3 linked regions of the Oryza sativa Japonica Group genome follow. The protein of the gene in region 2 binds, or shares a complex with, the protein of the main gene of each other region. Links are inferred from orthologs where the notes say so. Each region holds a gene or a part of one and is shown on either strand. Other genes may lie near its edges.

Evidence for each region. The genes of interacting proteins can lie anywhere in the genome.
Region 1: mediator of RNA polymerase II transcription subunit 16 (region 2) and mediator of RNA polymerase II transcription subunit 25 share a complex: the UniProt entries of both Arabidopsis thaliana proteins name them as parts of the mediator complex. The link is inferred for Oryza sativa Japonica Group from reciprocal best matches to the Arabidopsis thaliana genes SFR6 and PFT1.
Region 3: mediator of RNA polymerase II transcription subunit 16 (region 2) and mediator of RNA polymerase II transcription subunit 28 share a complex: the UniProt entries of both Arabidopsis thaliana proteins name them as parts of the mediator complex. The link is inferred for Oryza sativa Japonica Group from reciprocal best matches to the Arabidopsis thaliana genes SFR6 and AT3G52860.

What each region holds. Positions count from the first base shown.
Region 1 is NC_089043.1:12,243,763-12,249,045, reverse strand, and holds the start of mediator of RNA polymerase II transcription subunit 25, read right to left. Parts: upstream 3,304-5,283; 5' UTR 3,108-3,303; coding exon 2,998-3,107; intron 1,590-2,997; coding exon 1,559-1,589; intron 1,458-1,558; coding exon 1,394-1,457; intron 1,274-1,393; coding exon 1,143-1,273; intron 1-1,142. UniProt on the Arabidopsis thaliana protein: Component of the Mediator complex, a coactivator involved in the regulated transcription of nearly all RNA polymerase II-dependent genes.
Region 2 is NC_089044.1:19,714,505-19,719,100, reverse strand, and holds the end of mediator of RNA polymerase II transcription subunit 16, read right to left. Parts: coding exon 4,430-4,596; intron 3,982-4,429; coding exon 3,804-3,981; intron 3,649-3,803; coding exon 3,134-3,648; intron 2,723-3,133; coding exon 2,546-2,722; intron 2,078-2,545; coding exon 1,694-2,077; intron 1,578-1,693; coding exon 1,431-1,577; 3' UTR 1,064-1,430; downstream 1-1,063. UniProt on the Arabidopsis thaliana protein: Component of the Mediator complex, a coactivator involved in the regulated transcription of nearly all RNA polymerase II-dependent genes.
Region 3 is NC_089039.1:3,231,811-3,236,711, reverse strand, and holds mediator of RNA polymerase II transcription subunit 28, read left to right. Parts: upstream 1-1,771; 5' UTR 1,772-1,843; coding exon 1,844-2,036; intron 2,037-2,434; coding exon 2,435-2,547; intron 2,548-3,406; coding exon 3,407-3,541; 3' UTR 3,542-3,898; downstream 3,899-4,901. Other genes in the region: U1 small nuclear ribonucleoprotein A, read right to left, coding at 4,284-4,574. UniProt on the Arabidopsis thaliana protein: Component of the Mediator complex, a coactivator involved in the regulated transcription of nearly all RNA polymerase II-dependent genes.

The sequences.
Region 1 (5,283 bases), on a different chromosome or scaffold from region 2:
CATTCATAGAATTTAAACTTCTGATCATACTAGTTTCACTCTGCTTATTCTGGGTACTGGCCCAGACATCCAGTTTCCTAATAGGGTTGATCTAATGAAAATCTTCCTTACAAAAATTAACCTAATGAAATGGTGATTACAGTTATACACTCTATTTACTAAGGTAAGGCTATCTGTAGCTGATATCCAGATCAAGACATTTTTTATGAGACAATAGCTGATAAGTGGATGTGCAAACCACCTTAGAATTTTCTCACATGAATCATATGTTGTGCAGAAGGGCATTAAAGGACAGATTCTAGAGAATACTGGAAATAACAATACCAAGACAACAAGCTATAATTCTTGGAAAATAAAGTAATCCAAAAGGTTGGGTAGAACATGTATTGTTAAGTATCATGGTTCTACATAATGTCCAGGCTCAACTAATAGTTTACAGGGCTTACTATGAGAAACAAAATTGTAGATCAACTAATTTAGACAAAACTGGACCCAAATTCAGGTGCAGTGAGAGATGAAAAGAGGTATTTCCCTTCATCTAGGAAATCAAAATATCTCTGTTAATAAGATACCAAACTCTGCCTTTGCTTCAGCATAGCTGGTCCTAACGCTGAGTAAAGGAAGAATGTTGCGATAACATTGGTAAGCCATCATAAAAATCCCAGTCGTTCCTGTGGAGATGAATTATGGTTTTGGATAGAGTTGCATGGAAATTGGCGGTCCACATGCCCAGAATCATGACCTAATTCACGTCTTCTTTAACTATATTGTTATTACTAGTACTATACTTCCCTTAGTTTTTTTGTGGCTGCACATCAGTTTCATCTCTAGCCTACCCCAACTTGCCTGGAACTAAAGGTTGCTACTGTTGATGTTAACATGAAAGATGTGCCATTTGGCAAAAAAGAAACATCATTTCATATGCCAAATGAAGCATGATTGCACAAGCCAAACAAAATGCTAAAACCTTGCACGGGAACTCAAAAGTAGGCAACCATATGCAGTACTGAAATTTTGGAAGTAGTAAGCCACAGTTTCTAATTTATGCATTTTGAACCAAAAAAAAAAAGTACAGGAAACACCAGAGGAAGTCATTATGTGCAAAAAGTGAAAAGAACTGAACGATGCCAATATGTCAATACCATCAATGCTTCAGCAAGACCTTCAGAAATAGCAGCTTCACTAAAGCCTCCACCACTAAATGATATTCCAGATAACCATGAAAGAAACACATTCATATCTTTTGTCCATCCACTCCGTTGCACACAAAAAGCTGCAAGGAATCAAAAGCGAATTATCATAGCTTACATGTTTTGTTGATATAGAACTAAATACAAATAATTGCAATGGATCATAATAAAAAGCTTAGGGCATGGAGGATATCAAACTTTACCGCTATAAGGACCATGGGTATGGAAGACGACTAATGCAAGTTCAGGGGGTGTCCCTGCGAGCTTCTGCATAACACGATAATAATTTACACTTTTGAGTTTTGACACAAGTCAAGGAAACATGGATCAAGTAGTAAGTCCGACGATAAATACTGAGAGCAAATTACCTGTCCTGCCATTTCATGTGCACAAAAACTCCTGCATAAATTGAAATGCTTCATGAATAGTAGTACTAAAAATGCAAAGGTTACTAAGTGCTACAGAAATTGACAAAAATTTCTAGCAAGAGATGAGCTTAAAAGTTTCATGATAGTAAGTATATGAGAGTGAAGCTGTGGTGGATCACCACATAACATCAAAGGCTCCATTTGGATTTTGCGTTGAGGTGGACTATGATAATCCTGTTCCGTACAGTAGCTTATAGAAATTTTGATGTTTGGCTAACTGCTGCTCTTTTAATCAAGTTGCAAATAGAGATATTATTTCAGTTCTAAAAACAGAACACTTGTCAGAGAAATAACAGTTTAAATTGACTAACAGAATTCGTCTAACATTAATTTGATTTCTCAAACAGACTACGAAGTTTTTCTTAACTGTTTCCACAGAAGCTAAATAATAAGCACAGGAGGATAGCAACTGCAAACAAACCCTAATAATTCAGAGCAAACTGATTATTGACCAACAATACAAACAGCTCCCACTTTCATTATTTTTTTTATTTGAAAGGCTTGAACACAAGAAATTTGACTCATGTGATGAATATTCCAATTACACCCATGCGAAACCAGAACATCAACTAATTAACAAGAGTGAAAACAAGGACTTCAGAAAAGCCATAACCATAACCAAACAGACATCCCATCATTACATTACTGGTTGTACAGAAGAGTAGTAAAATCACCAGCCAAAAACTGAAATTGGTTTTCATGGGAATCATTCATCATTCATGAAAAAAAAAACACTAAAATATGCTAGACTGAAGAAAAATACTTCTGAATGAGCAAGGAGGAACTAGAAAAGGCATAAAACCCAAAGTAGAAGATGAATTATGCTACATTCTGTCATAGATCTGCACATATGCAGTGATACAAAGTCTCCTCGAATCAGGAGCAAAAAAAGATGTATCTCGTGCCACAACACCATATAGCCAACAACCAACCAGTTCATCAAGAAACCACGAATTTCCACACATCGATGATGCGCTTGCATTCTTACTCTTTGAATAAGCATTGTGAAACAGAATTGAAGCTAACTAGTACCATTTAATGTTTGCAATTAAGAAGGTGAGAGCAAACAACAAATCTCCAAATCTCCTACTAATGCTTGGAGTGAACGATATATCCGACTAATATAACTAAAAAACTGTGTATATCAAACACATACACGGATAGCTGCTAACTTCCACTATCAAGAACTAACTAGCTACCGCTTCGCGTTCCATGTACTCCCTTCGTCTCAAAATAAACAGCTAAACAATCAACAAAGGGTCCAATTCTTCCACATCAAGAAATCCAAGATGCACTAATCCGCGACGGCCGTACAGTCAACTAGTAACAAGAAAGCAGGGTGGCGCGGCGGGGGGAGGAAAGCACGGGCGCAGCATTACCGCACGATCTTCTCGACGTAGTCCGCCACGGTGACGGGCCAGTACGGCCCCAGCGCCGCCGTCCCCTCCACGGCCACCACCAGCTGCCTCTCGGCCGCCGCCGCCGCCATCCCCCCGACGGCCGCCCCCGCCGCCGCCGCACCCGGCGCCACCCTGCCGACTCCCCGAATCACCGCCTCTCGAGCTCCCCTCCCTCCCGCGAAATCAATCTCCCCCGCACCAACGACTTCTCCCTCCCTCCCTTCCTTGCCGGAATTTCTCTTCTTCTTCTTCTTGTTAGGTTTCGTGAGGTTAGAGAGAGATGACGGCGAAGGGGTGGGGTACTGGGGTCTAATTTATATGGGCCCCAAGGCCCATAAGAAGAAAGGTGGGCTTTTGTGTGGATGACAGGTGGGGCCATAGGGGAATATGGGGAAATTTTGGTGTAAAAAAGAGTTGTATTGTTCTTTTATGGTGTTTAGTAAATGTAATAATAATGGTACTCTATAGTTGGGAAGAATTGTGAGCATTTATTACTTTCTTAGTATACATCAGGTTAGTTTTGAGTGTAGCCTTTCGGCTAAACTAAGGGTATTTTTAGGAGGTACTCCCTCCGTCCCATAATATAAGGGATTTTGAGTTTTTATTTGCACTGTTTGACCACTCGTCTTATTAAAAAAATTTGGAATTATTATTTATTTTTTGTGTGACTTACTTTATTATTCAAAGTATTTTAAGCACAACTTTTCGTTTTTTATATTTGCACAATTTTTTTAAATAAGATGAGTGGTCAAACAATGCAAATAAAAACTCAAAATCCCTTATATTATGGAATGGAGGGAGTAACTAAGAATCGGGTGCCCGATTTTCAAGAGAAAAATCGGGTGCCCCCCTCCTGCACCTCCTGCGTGTGCTGCTCTCTACATATTCGTTGCATGCATCATGCATGTCAACTACTTCATCCGTCTCAGAATATAGCAACCACGGAGGGAGTATTTCCTTGCCTCATCTCTGCGTGTGTTGCACCCTACATATTTGTTGCATGCAGCATGTATGTCAACTACTTCCTTGCCTCATATCAGCTACATGCAATATTCCATAATTCCCTATCTCTCATCTCTCCATACAAATCTTGCTTTTCTTAACACACTTTAAATGTTTTTTCTCTTAAATTATTAATCCAATCTATAATATGATTGCACCGTTGTATTTCTTGTAATTCAAATCTTTACAAACAAGATCTCACATATAAAAAAAATTAATGATGTTTCACCACTTATAAAAAATTGTTTCAATTCGCTAAAAAAATGTTCCAGATAAATGCAACATTCAAAATATAATGACTGCAATATCATCAACCTCTGCACGAAACATCAAGTCCCAACCAGTGAACTCATATAAAGACTCGTACGAAATAAACGATATACTTATATGGATATTGTTAAAACACATTTATATTTGTTGACGGTCGTTAGTGATCAGTTTCGTCCGTCAACACTACTTAAATAAAAGAGAACTAGTTATGCTTGCAATGCATATTTATGTCAAAATAATAAATATTCCACTGGCACTAGGATTACTAACCTCTTGCAGAGAATGAACACTAAGTGGAGAAGAATCGACATCAAAACAAGTGATCATTCAATCAGACAATGTCGAGAATCAGACCTATCAATGAATAGGTCAAGAATGCAAAAATGACATGACCAATTGGGCCAAAATTCACAAGTCTGAAGTGAGCAACAGAAGACGAGGCCGCTAGCCGAAAATGGGTCGGCCCCTGGTTCGGCCGAACCCATCCTGGCGCCGTTGGATGCAGGGTTGCGGCTAGACGGTATGGATTAGCTCCCAATGACGGTTGGAGGGTATTTCCGACCATTCCAACCGTCACAACCGTCATTGGGAGGCTATACAAGGAGCTCACTCTCTCCATTTCAAGACACACCACAAGCAAGAAATTCATTTCATCTATCAAGTTTAATATAGTTTCTAGAGTATAGTGGAATAGAAATAGAATAGAATCTTCAGTCCTCGGAGTCTTCGGAAGAATTTGGGTATGGCTCTAGTAGCTTTTCCTTCTTTTATAAGACTTGTACTTTATTTAGAATATTCTTCTTTATATTACTTTGGTATTGTATTACTTTCCGAGTATATGAATACCAGATTTATTACATACCCAAGTTATATTCATTATGATGCTAGCTTATCTGGGAGATGCAATAGTGTGGGTATTTACGATGACTCTATCATGACGATGATATTATAGTAGTATTTGGTAATTTAAGCGTGGTGTTTAGATTACTAGAT
Region 2 (4,596 bases):
CGACCCTATCCGATACCTACAGAGGCCGGCCGTAGGGATCTAGCGCTGTTTCTGATCTCGCCGGGCATGGATTCGAGGAGGAAGACTACCCTGTCGTCGACTATGAGTCAGATCTTCAGACCGCCATGTCGACAACAATTAGATATGCTACTCCAAATATTATACTGGTGTGATTATGGTGAATAAGAGCAACGACCGCTTCGGCCAACAGGATGTAGGGTTATTACCTGACAATTCAGGGGCCCGAACCTGTATAAAAATCTCTGTCTTCGTCTCTTTTACCTCGGTCTCGCGTATATCCTAGTACCAACGATCTCCATACTATGCAAATACCGGAATCGCGACATCAAACGTCGACAAGTACTAAATAGTCTGTCTTTTATTAAAAAGTAGGAAAGTTGATTTAAATAATCATATCAATTTATTTCTTTAAATTATTTACTAATATATTTATTAGCTATGCGCTAATTTGTTGCTCTGTTTTGCGTGAAAGGGACAAGTTCTAGGTCACTAGCATCCAACACACCCTTAGCATTTCTTTATTACACGACTGAACCATATGCACGAACGCACAGCACTACGCATACAACACCACACTTGCACACTCGCAAATGCTTCTCTAACACAATTAGAAACTAGCGGCAAATCCTATTTTCACGATATTTATATTGAAAACCAAATTACGCGTACATAATATTCGTGGGTATAAGATTTAAATATTAGACCACCACACCGCTGATACTTCCCAATTTTTAGCAAATTTTGTAGTGTGTATATTTCGAGAATATATTTTGTTAAGTTTAAGCAAATTCTGTACACTCGATAATATTTTTAAGCACTTGTAAATTTTTGCAAGTGTTCTAGGATGACAGTATTACAGGTAGCTCTGTAAATATCAGAACCAAGCGCAGTTTGAATACTTTCTACCCTTCGAAAAGATTCGAACAGAAATTCAAATTTCGTCTTTATTTTGTCGACCACGTTGAACGATGATCTAAAGCCACAAGTTGAACATAGCATAGCTTATGAGAGAAACACCCAATTGAACATGCTATTACATACATGGTCTTTTCAATCACCAGCAAATATTATTGACATCAAGCAGTATCTAACGGAGTTTCTTTTCCAATGTTGCAAATTAGTACACTACATTTATGTACAAAAGGATCGCACAACACAACTGCTGACTCTGACAGTGTTTGGGCATGTCCTAATCCTGTTTTTTCCTACCGTTTTACACAGCTGCTGGTGCAATCTGCTCTGACTGCTGCAGGTAAACTATGATACCATACCAGGGAGGGCCTGAGACCAAACAATCTAAAGTTAGATACAAAATTGTCCAAAAACCGATGGCGCCTACACAGATTTGGCCGAGAAAGCTATTGGCAGAGTGGTTAGTACGGTGAAGGTGTCGCCCGGAGGCGTCAAATTCAAACGACTTTCACCCATGTCCCACCGCACATTGGGCAAGCATGGGTCCATCGGCTGATCCACCATGCCTCAAGCTCATTCGACGTGTTCGGAGCTAGAGCACCAGGCTGAGCAAATGCACAGGTTTGCCTCAAACATCGTATGCACTGCAAAAGATAGCATGTCTCGGTGTCACGGCAAATGGTGAATTGGATAGAGTGCGTCGATAATTAATTCTGAAAGAATACTGAAGTTAGAGACTACTACTATCAAGTATGCTTACCTTGTACCATTCACCTTCGAGGCCTGTTTTCCACACAGCTGTAATAACATCTCTCCGAGAACCCATCACACCTAGAAAAGATCCCAGCCCCACGGATGTTTTCAGACCAAATGCTGCATCTCTTTCAGACAACCGGCGCTTTCTTGGCCAAAGATTTTGAATCCCAAAGGAGCTGTCGCCATCCTCTTCCATGTCCGATAAGTGGCGATTGGTAGAGCCATTGATTTTTAGCTGTCGCGTATTATCCAATGGACCAAGATCATCTGGTTCTGACCATGGCCCACCAAACATGTTGCGTCTATGCCATTCTTCAGCAGGGGGCTGCAGTTCTAATTCTCGAAGTAGAAGGCCAGCAGCATCAGCTCCACGTGGACGAGGCATATTCTGCAATAAATATTGGAACAAATGGGCAACATTGGTATAAATTCTCGACAGAAATGCGTGTACACAGCTCTTGTTGGACATGTACATGCTCACTACTCTTACCAAAGATGTACATGCTGATGAAAATGAGAACTCCTAAATGGTGACAAGAGGGCGCTGAGGCCATGAGTAATAAATTATATAGGCAGATGGAGAACGTATGAACAAAAGAAATCATAAAAACCAATTATGCACGTGTGCTTGTATAAATGAAAATTTCCATAATTAACTTGGACAACAATATTCTTTTGCTGGATCAATCCATCGTTAACCCAGGTAAGTAGAGTAGAACTTGCAAAATACTATATCTCTATTTCTCCAACACAATTGAGAATTACTATAATGTATTGCTGAGAAGAGAACATTGAATGCTCTAATGAGTACACAGAGAATACAGAAATAAACTTCCACAATAAATCTGTATTGTACCTGCATATGAGGGCCAAGAGATGCTTCCACTACCTCAGGGAGCACAGTGTAATTGCCATCGATGTAATGCAGCCTTATAATAATATTGCTCGAACCAACCTGAGAAGAAGGCAACGGATGTTGCAAGGTTGCAGTCCGTTTACATAGGTCAACTAATATGAGAAAAAGGACTTTCACCTGCAAGCATGAAACAAATAATTCAGAAACTAGATGTATTACAGTGCTACACAAATAATACTTTCAGAAAGGCAACTAATAAAATCGGGAGAAACATGTCGGGCAAATCACCGATCAAAGATTATACTAGGTAAATTATCCAATCATGTCTAATTACCCTTAATCATATGGCACTTGCAAACAATTTAGACACACACATGATATATGATATGCAGACATATAACCACACTATATAACAGCTCTAATCTAAATGTTGATTCAGAAACAATACAGGCTAGATATTGATGTCGAAGCGCACATACAAAAATACTGTTATATGTATAACTATCACTATTTTCAGATTGAAAAAAGTTTTCTTATTGAACAATTCAGGCTGAGAAAATCCATATTTATGGGTTATTTGTTTGTTACCTCGTCTGAAGTATAACCTTGGCCAGCATTGCCAGAACCTATCCTAGCAGATTTGTTGCCCACTGGATTTTCTTCAGCACCCTTTGCTCCAACCATCTGTCCACGTGAAGTTGTGCCATCTTCCAATTTGGCAGCACCTAGACCAGATCTGACTGCCAAAGTATTATCCTCTGTCTTACTGTTCATCAAGTGTTGTTTCTGCATGCTAGAATCAGAACTTTTTTGTGCATTTGCAGGTATCCTTGGAGATTGCCTTCTCCGAAAAAGCAAACAAAATAGCAACAGCTGACATAATCTATGAAGGAAATGGCAGTCCCCAATAAGTCTAACAGCTGGTGTGCCAGGGAATGTTCCCGTATTTATGCTAATAGGCATGAATGATGACCTCCCGCTAATTGGATTTGGTGCAGCATTTGCAGCACCATCAGTATTGTTACTAATCTTAGCAATGGCACCTTGGACCCACTCTTGCATTTGTGAGCTCCCTGTTGTAGACGCTACTCCACCTTGATTACCTGAAACATTAGCATCATTGCTAAGTTTGAAATGTGCCAGCAACTTGTCATTTTCCAAAAAATTAAATAAAGAAACAAATAATTCATAGGTGGTTTTATTTAGCACCAAAAAAAAAAGCACAAGCTTTAGCAAGATAGACGGAATCAAAATTAACCTTGGTTAGTTGAAGGTGAAGGAGAACTGTTGGTTGGACTTGTAACCATATTCCTAGAATTGCCTGAACCAGAAGATGCTCCAACTGCATGGCTAGCCAAAGTTCGGCAGAAGCTCGCATAGCGTCGCAAGCGTGTGATAAAATGTGACGCTAAATCTAGAACAGCATCAACGTACCCCTGCAGTCCATGTTCAAAAAAAAATTAAATCCACAAAATAGTAACATGAAAGTTCATATGCAGACCGCTTATGCTGAAATGTGTGCACAAATTGCTAAGGCATTGGAGGCAGTTGATGGGCTGAGCATAATTCCTGCACACCTAGGAGCAAAGCTTATGATGAAAGCTATCTGGAGGCTGTTTGAATCGTAGTCGGTTTGGAACATAAAAACAGCAAAATACTGCTGTAAATACTGTAAATTCCATACATGGCATGGTTAATCTGTGGCATATCATGCCTCATCCTCATGCATGAATAGGTTGTGGTTTACAAATAGCTTATCATTCAAAAAGGTTTGCAACATCATTTGCCCATATTAAGTCTATAGCCAAAAAAAGGAAAACGAGATTAGCAAATTGAACTGAAACTGTGGACCAGGAAATCAAAAGAACATGAAACACAGTATACCTGGATGCTTAAAAGTAGAGCTGGGTCAACAGTCATTTTGTCAGGCCCAATGCTAGATAACATGTCACTGGAAGCTTGCCACGGTTCAGGTAGCAGAGTTGATGGATTTATCAGGGCAGACTCAATTCCCTTGCCAAGCATATCCAGAAGCAATCTTGCTTGCATGT
Region 3 (4,901 bases), on a different chromosome or scaffold from region 2:
AGCAGATTGATGTGGGCTAGATATAGCAGAACTACAGATTGGTGTGATTTATTTCTAACTAGATCTTTCTCCCAAGATTCTCAACAAATATTGGTAACCCCAATGTTACATGGGCTGAAAGAAAAGATCCTAAAACAAAATGCAATTTTTAAGTAATTGTTAAAAATAATGGGTCTTCGAACACCTAGCTAAATGTTTGTGTTTTGCTATAGATAAAAAAATGTATTAATATGTTAACCATCTTTTTGCTATAGGGAATATTCATCTTAGGCCATGTTCATTTCTTATGCAATCTGAGGATAAAATTTTAGATACTCGTGGCACACTTTTCAAACAGCTAAACAGTGTGTTTCGTACGAAAACTTTCTATATGAAAGTTGTTCTAAAATATCAGATTAATTCATTTTTCAAATTTGTAATAATTAAAATTTAATTAATCACATGTTATTATCACCTCGTTTTGCGTGAAACACTTAATCTTCATCTTCAGGAGATTCAAACACTACCTAATCATTTTTTTATTTGACTATCAATTTAGATTTGATCTTTTAAATATTAAGAAATTTAAGGGGCAACTTACAAAATTTACAATGAGGGTAGGTATGATGACATATTCACTATATGACATATCTCCGTTTTTTTTTTTGAAGAAGTATAGATTAGACCAATTGACTAGCCGACTGGGTACATCGGTCGTACTCCCCAAAATGGCACCAACCTAACCTAATGCTATATTAGATTCTGCTATAACTTATAATCAACTAAGGAGTATATTACATCAATAAAAGAAATATCTACCGATAACATTAAGTTAATTGTGACTATCACTGATCGATTAATTAGATGTATTTATGACAACCGCATGCATACGTGTCGAGCAGCAAAGAAGTGTGTTCACTTTTATGCTACAGTAAAAAAATCAGAAAGTCACGAAGTCAAGCAATATATGTTGCCATATTTGATGTTTAACACAAGATTAAATACACAAACATAAAGATAAATGGGACTTAAACAATATGCATAGGAAAAAAAATATTAGCATTTCATGTTTCTTTTTTCTAAAATACAACGGAAATTCACTGACTCCATATGTTCATATTGTAATCTAAGTTTATCTTTCAGTTAAACTTCTCTAACACCGGTTGGCTTTATAAAAAAAAATACAAAATCTGTAACACCAAATTAGTTTAATTAGATTCATCATGAAATATGTCTTTATTGCATTTATTTATTATTTTATATATTGGTGCATTTTATTCAAACTCAGACAATTAACTTAGAAAAAAATATTTATAGACCTAGAATTTTTCCCAAATAGAATTCCAGATTTATTTTCCAAATAGAAATATCATAAATATCATTATATATATATATATATATATGTATATATATATATATATGTATATATATCTATATATCTAATAAATCAAACTAAGTCTAAATAACTCTAAAACATTTATACATCCTAACAAAGGTATAAATATTTACAGGGTACTTTTAAGCTATGTTCTTCCCCCCATTTTCCCAACCCACCTATCTTGTTTTCCACGTGTACGCTTTTCAAACTGCTAAACGGTGTGATTTATAAAAAAACTTTATATATAGAAGTTGTTTAAAAAAATCATATTAATCTATTTTTTAAAATAAAATTAGATAATACTTAATTAATCATGCAATAAAATAAACTTCGTTTTGCGTGGCAGGAGGAGGGGTTCCCAAGCCCCTCCTCTGAACACAGCCTTAGTAGGTGCGCCAGGCGCACCCATTTTCTAGTAGTTTTTGGAAGAAGGGTTTCATTGCAATTTTGCGATCCCCACCTCTCTCTCTCTCGTCTCTCGCTCTCATGGCCGAGCCGCCGTCGCAGTCGCCGGCGCAGACGCCGCCGCAGGCGGCGCAGCAGCAGCAGCAGGGGCCCGGGGAGAGCGCGCGCGACGACATGATGGCCTGCGTGGCGGCGCTGGAGGCGGCGCTGCTGCCCTGCCTCCCCGCGCGCGAGCTCCAGGCCGTCGACCGCTCCCTCCAATCCTCCCACCAGAGTACGTCGGACTCACTGAGACTGACCCCGCCGCTCCCCCTCTCTCCTCCCTCTGCAGCCTCCCTTCCCCGTCGTTCTTGCGCTTCCCCCGGCCAAGATTTGGCGCGGCTGGTTTGGTTCGACTCGCCCGCCCGCCAGGTGTTCGCTGTTTTGCCTACGAGGTGGGGATTAGGAAGCCCCTCGTGCTCTAGCAAAATGTGGCGAAGTTATTTTTTCTTTTTACTTGCGCTGTTGGTACGCGGGCGTCTCGCGGGTGCTGAGATGAGATTGAGAGGGTGGCATTTGAGCGTTCTACATCTGTGTGCTCAACTGTCGATGTAGAAATTGGATTCTTTTGCTTTGTTGCTGGTTAGCAAAATAGGGATTCTAAGGTGTTGTGGTTGTTATAATGTGGAACAGTTGATGTTGAGAGGCACGCGAGGGATTTCATGGAGGCTGCGAAGAAGCTCCAGTCTTACTTCATCAGCCTGCAGCGCGAGGACCGACCGTCGACAGAAGAAATGCTTCGAAAGGTACATTGCATTGCTTTCGGAACAACTTTGCTTCGAAAGGTACTCCTTGACTTCGAAATGATTAGCAAATTAGAACTTTGTGATTAGCAAATTAGCCTGTAGGTAGAACTAGGACCTTGTTTGGGGGAGCTTAAGATTTTGAGAAGCAATTGGTTGGTAGTCAGTTTATGAGAATATGAAGAAGCTGGAAAGTTAGGTTTCTTGTTTCTAGTTTATTTTCTGTATTCTTTAACTACATCTTCTCAGAATCTAGATGAAAAGCTGAACTGTTTGAGTGAGCTTTTAATTTTAGGAAAAGCTGCAGCTGCCAAAAGCTCCCTCAAACATGCCCTAGGTTGGGTAAGCACAGAGTAACGATTTGACACCAGAGTACACAGACATGGGAGGCTGAGAGCTTGGGGATGGCGAGGGAAAAGGTCTAAAAAATATTCAATTTTCAAAGATAAGGGCTTGAGTTTGTCTCTTTTACAGTCTTGAATTGACTGGGCCAGCTCTAAATCAGTCCCGTATTGTTAGCACTAATTCTCTGAGATGTCTAATTGAAGTTTTTTTTCTGTGTTAGTACTCGTTGTGCTCAACATTTTAGAGTGCTTGAGATCCAATGGTTTTTAATATTTGGCCCATCAATAAGTTTAAAGCTATCTAGATTGGTTGTATAAAATCCATTTGACCCTCTCTTTGAAATCAATTATATTGATGTTATATTGCAACCGTTGTAAAAAAAAAATTGTGCATCGATTTTTCTCTATAAGCTTCATGGGAGAAATCAAGAGAAATCCTATATGGCGTGGTCCCCAAGCTGTAATAATCAAATAATAATGTGTCATCATGTTTTAACATGTCCAGTTTCGGTTTGCAGGATATTGCTATAATGGAGGAAGAGCTGAAGACCAAGTCCGAGCTCATCGACAAACATAAGAAGCTCATCGAAGGGTGGCAGAAAGAGCTGAAGGACCAGCTGGGAAAGCATGTTACTGAACTCGAAAGAGTGTGACACCACTGTCTTCCATGAAATGTCCCAGGCTCCTTCCGATGATCAACCTGAGTAGCCCAGTGCTGGGCTATGCCTTGGAGATTTTGAGTACGCCAGCCAGGAAAAAAAAAACACCACAACAATGTTTTAGGATCTGACCAGTTTGCCGAAGACGAACAAATTGCGCTGTATTAATGTTCGTTGCTATGTTCGGTTTATCATAATATTATTGTTCGTAGTTTCTCGTGTGCTCTCCATCTCATCGTGTTAGGCATGCCTAACATGTTAAACTTTTAGATTTTTCGGAGCAACATCTTTTTCCCGATTATAGGAGTGTATGATAACATGTGTGTTCAATGGAATTGTCTAATTGCCTCACTTGTCATTTTAGATGTTTCTTTCAACATATTAATGATTTAATGGTAATTGAATCCCACAGTTGCTGTCAGGTGACCATGGTGACACAACTACACAAGTATGACTATGAGATGGTAAATATTTTAACGAGGCTAACAGCAATAGCATAAATGTAAATCGTCTCAAGCTGCCATATTTTACACAAGGGAACACGAGTGGAACTAACTAGGAGAACTCACGACTGCAAAGATGGTTCAAATTTCATCTCATTCCTGAAACACACACGGGCAGCTGAGCAGTAGTACATTAACATGGTTGTCATGGTGTAGTCTACCTAACAATGAAAATCTATGGATTATGCGAAAACTTGGGACTACAACATTCATCGAGCAAGTCAATAGTACATTTACTTCTTCGCATACGAGATAAGCATCTGGTTATCTTTCGTAATTTTGAACCCCTGAAGATGGTTCATGGCAGCGGTAGCCTGCCCCTCGTCGCCGTACTCCACGAAAGCAATCCCAGGCTTTGCTTCAACCATTCTGACTTCCTTGAACCCTGGGTACTGACAGAAGAGCATCTGAAGCATCATAGGGGTCGTCTCATGTGGGAGGTTTTGGACGAAGAGGATGTTATTCGGTACAATTATCTCCGGCATCATGACCTTCTGTGCGCCAGCAAAAGGTAGCTGAGAGAGCTGCACAAAACAGTGAGCCAATGAATCGAAGGAATCCAAAAGTAGTGGGCCCAAGAAAAATATAAGGCAGAAATAGGGGCGTTTAAATGTGCAACATGCTTACTGTACAAACAGTGGTCTTTATGCTTGTGATTATTGTTTGCCGTGGTCATTTGTATTAGTTTTCTTTGTTAGCATTATATTCGATCTATAGTTTGGATGATTATCTTCCTTTAGTTGAACACGTTAAGAGACTTTCTTAAGGGTATAAACAAATGCATCCCTACAGAAGTGATTGTTGCCTCCACTTAGCACCGTGCTACCTCAAACTAGGTTCACAGCATGGGT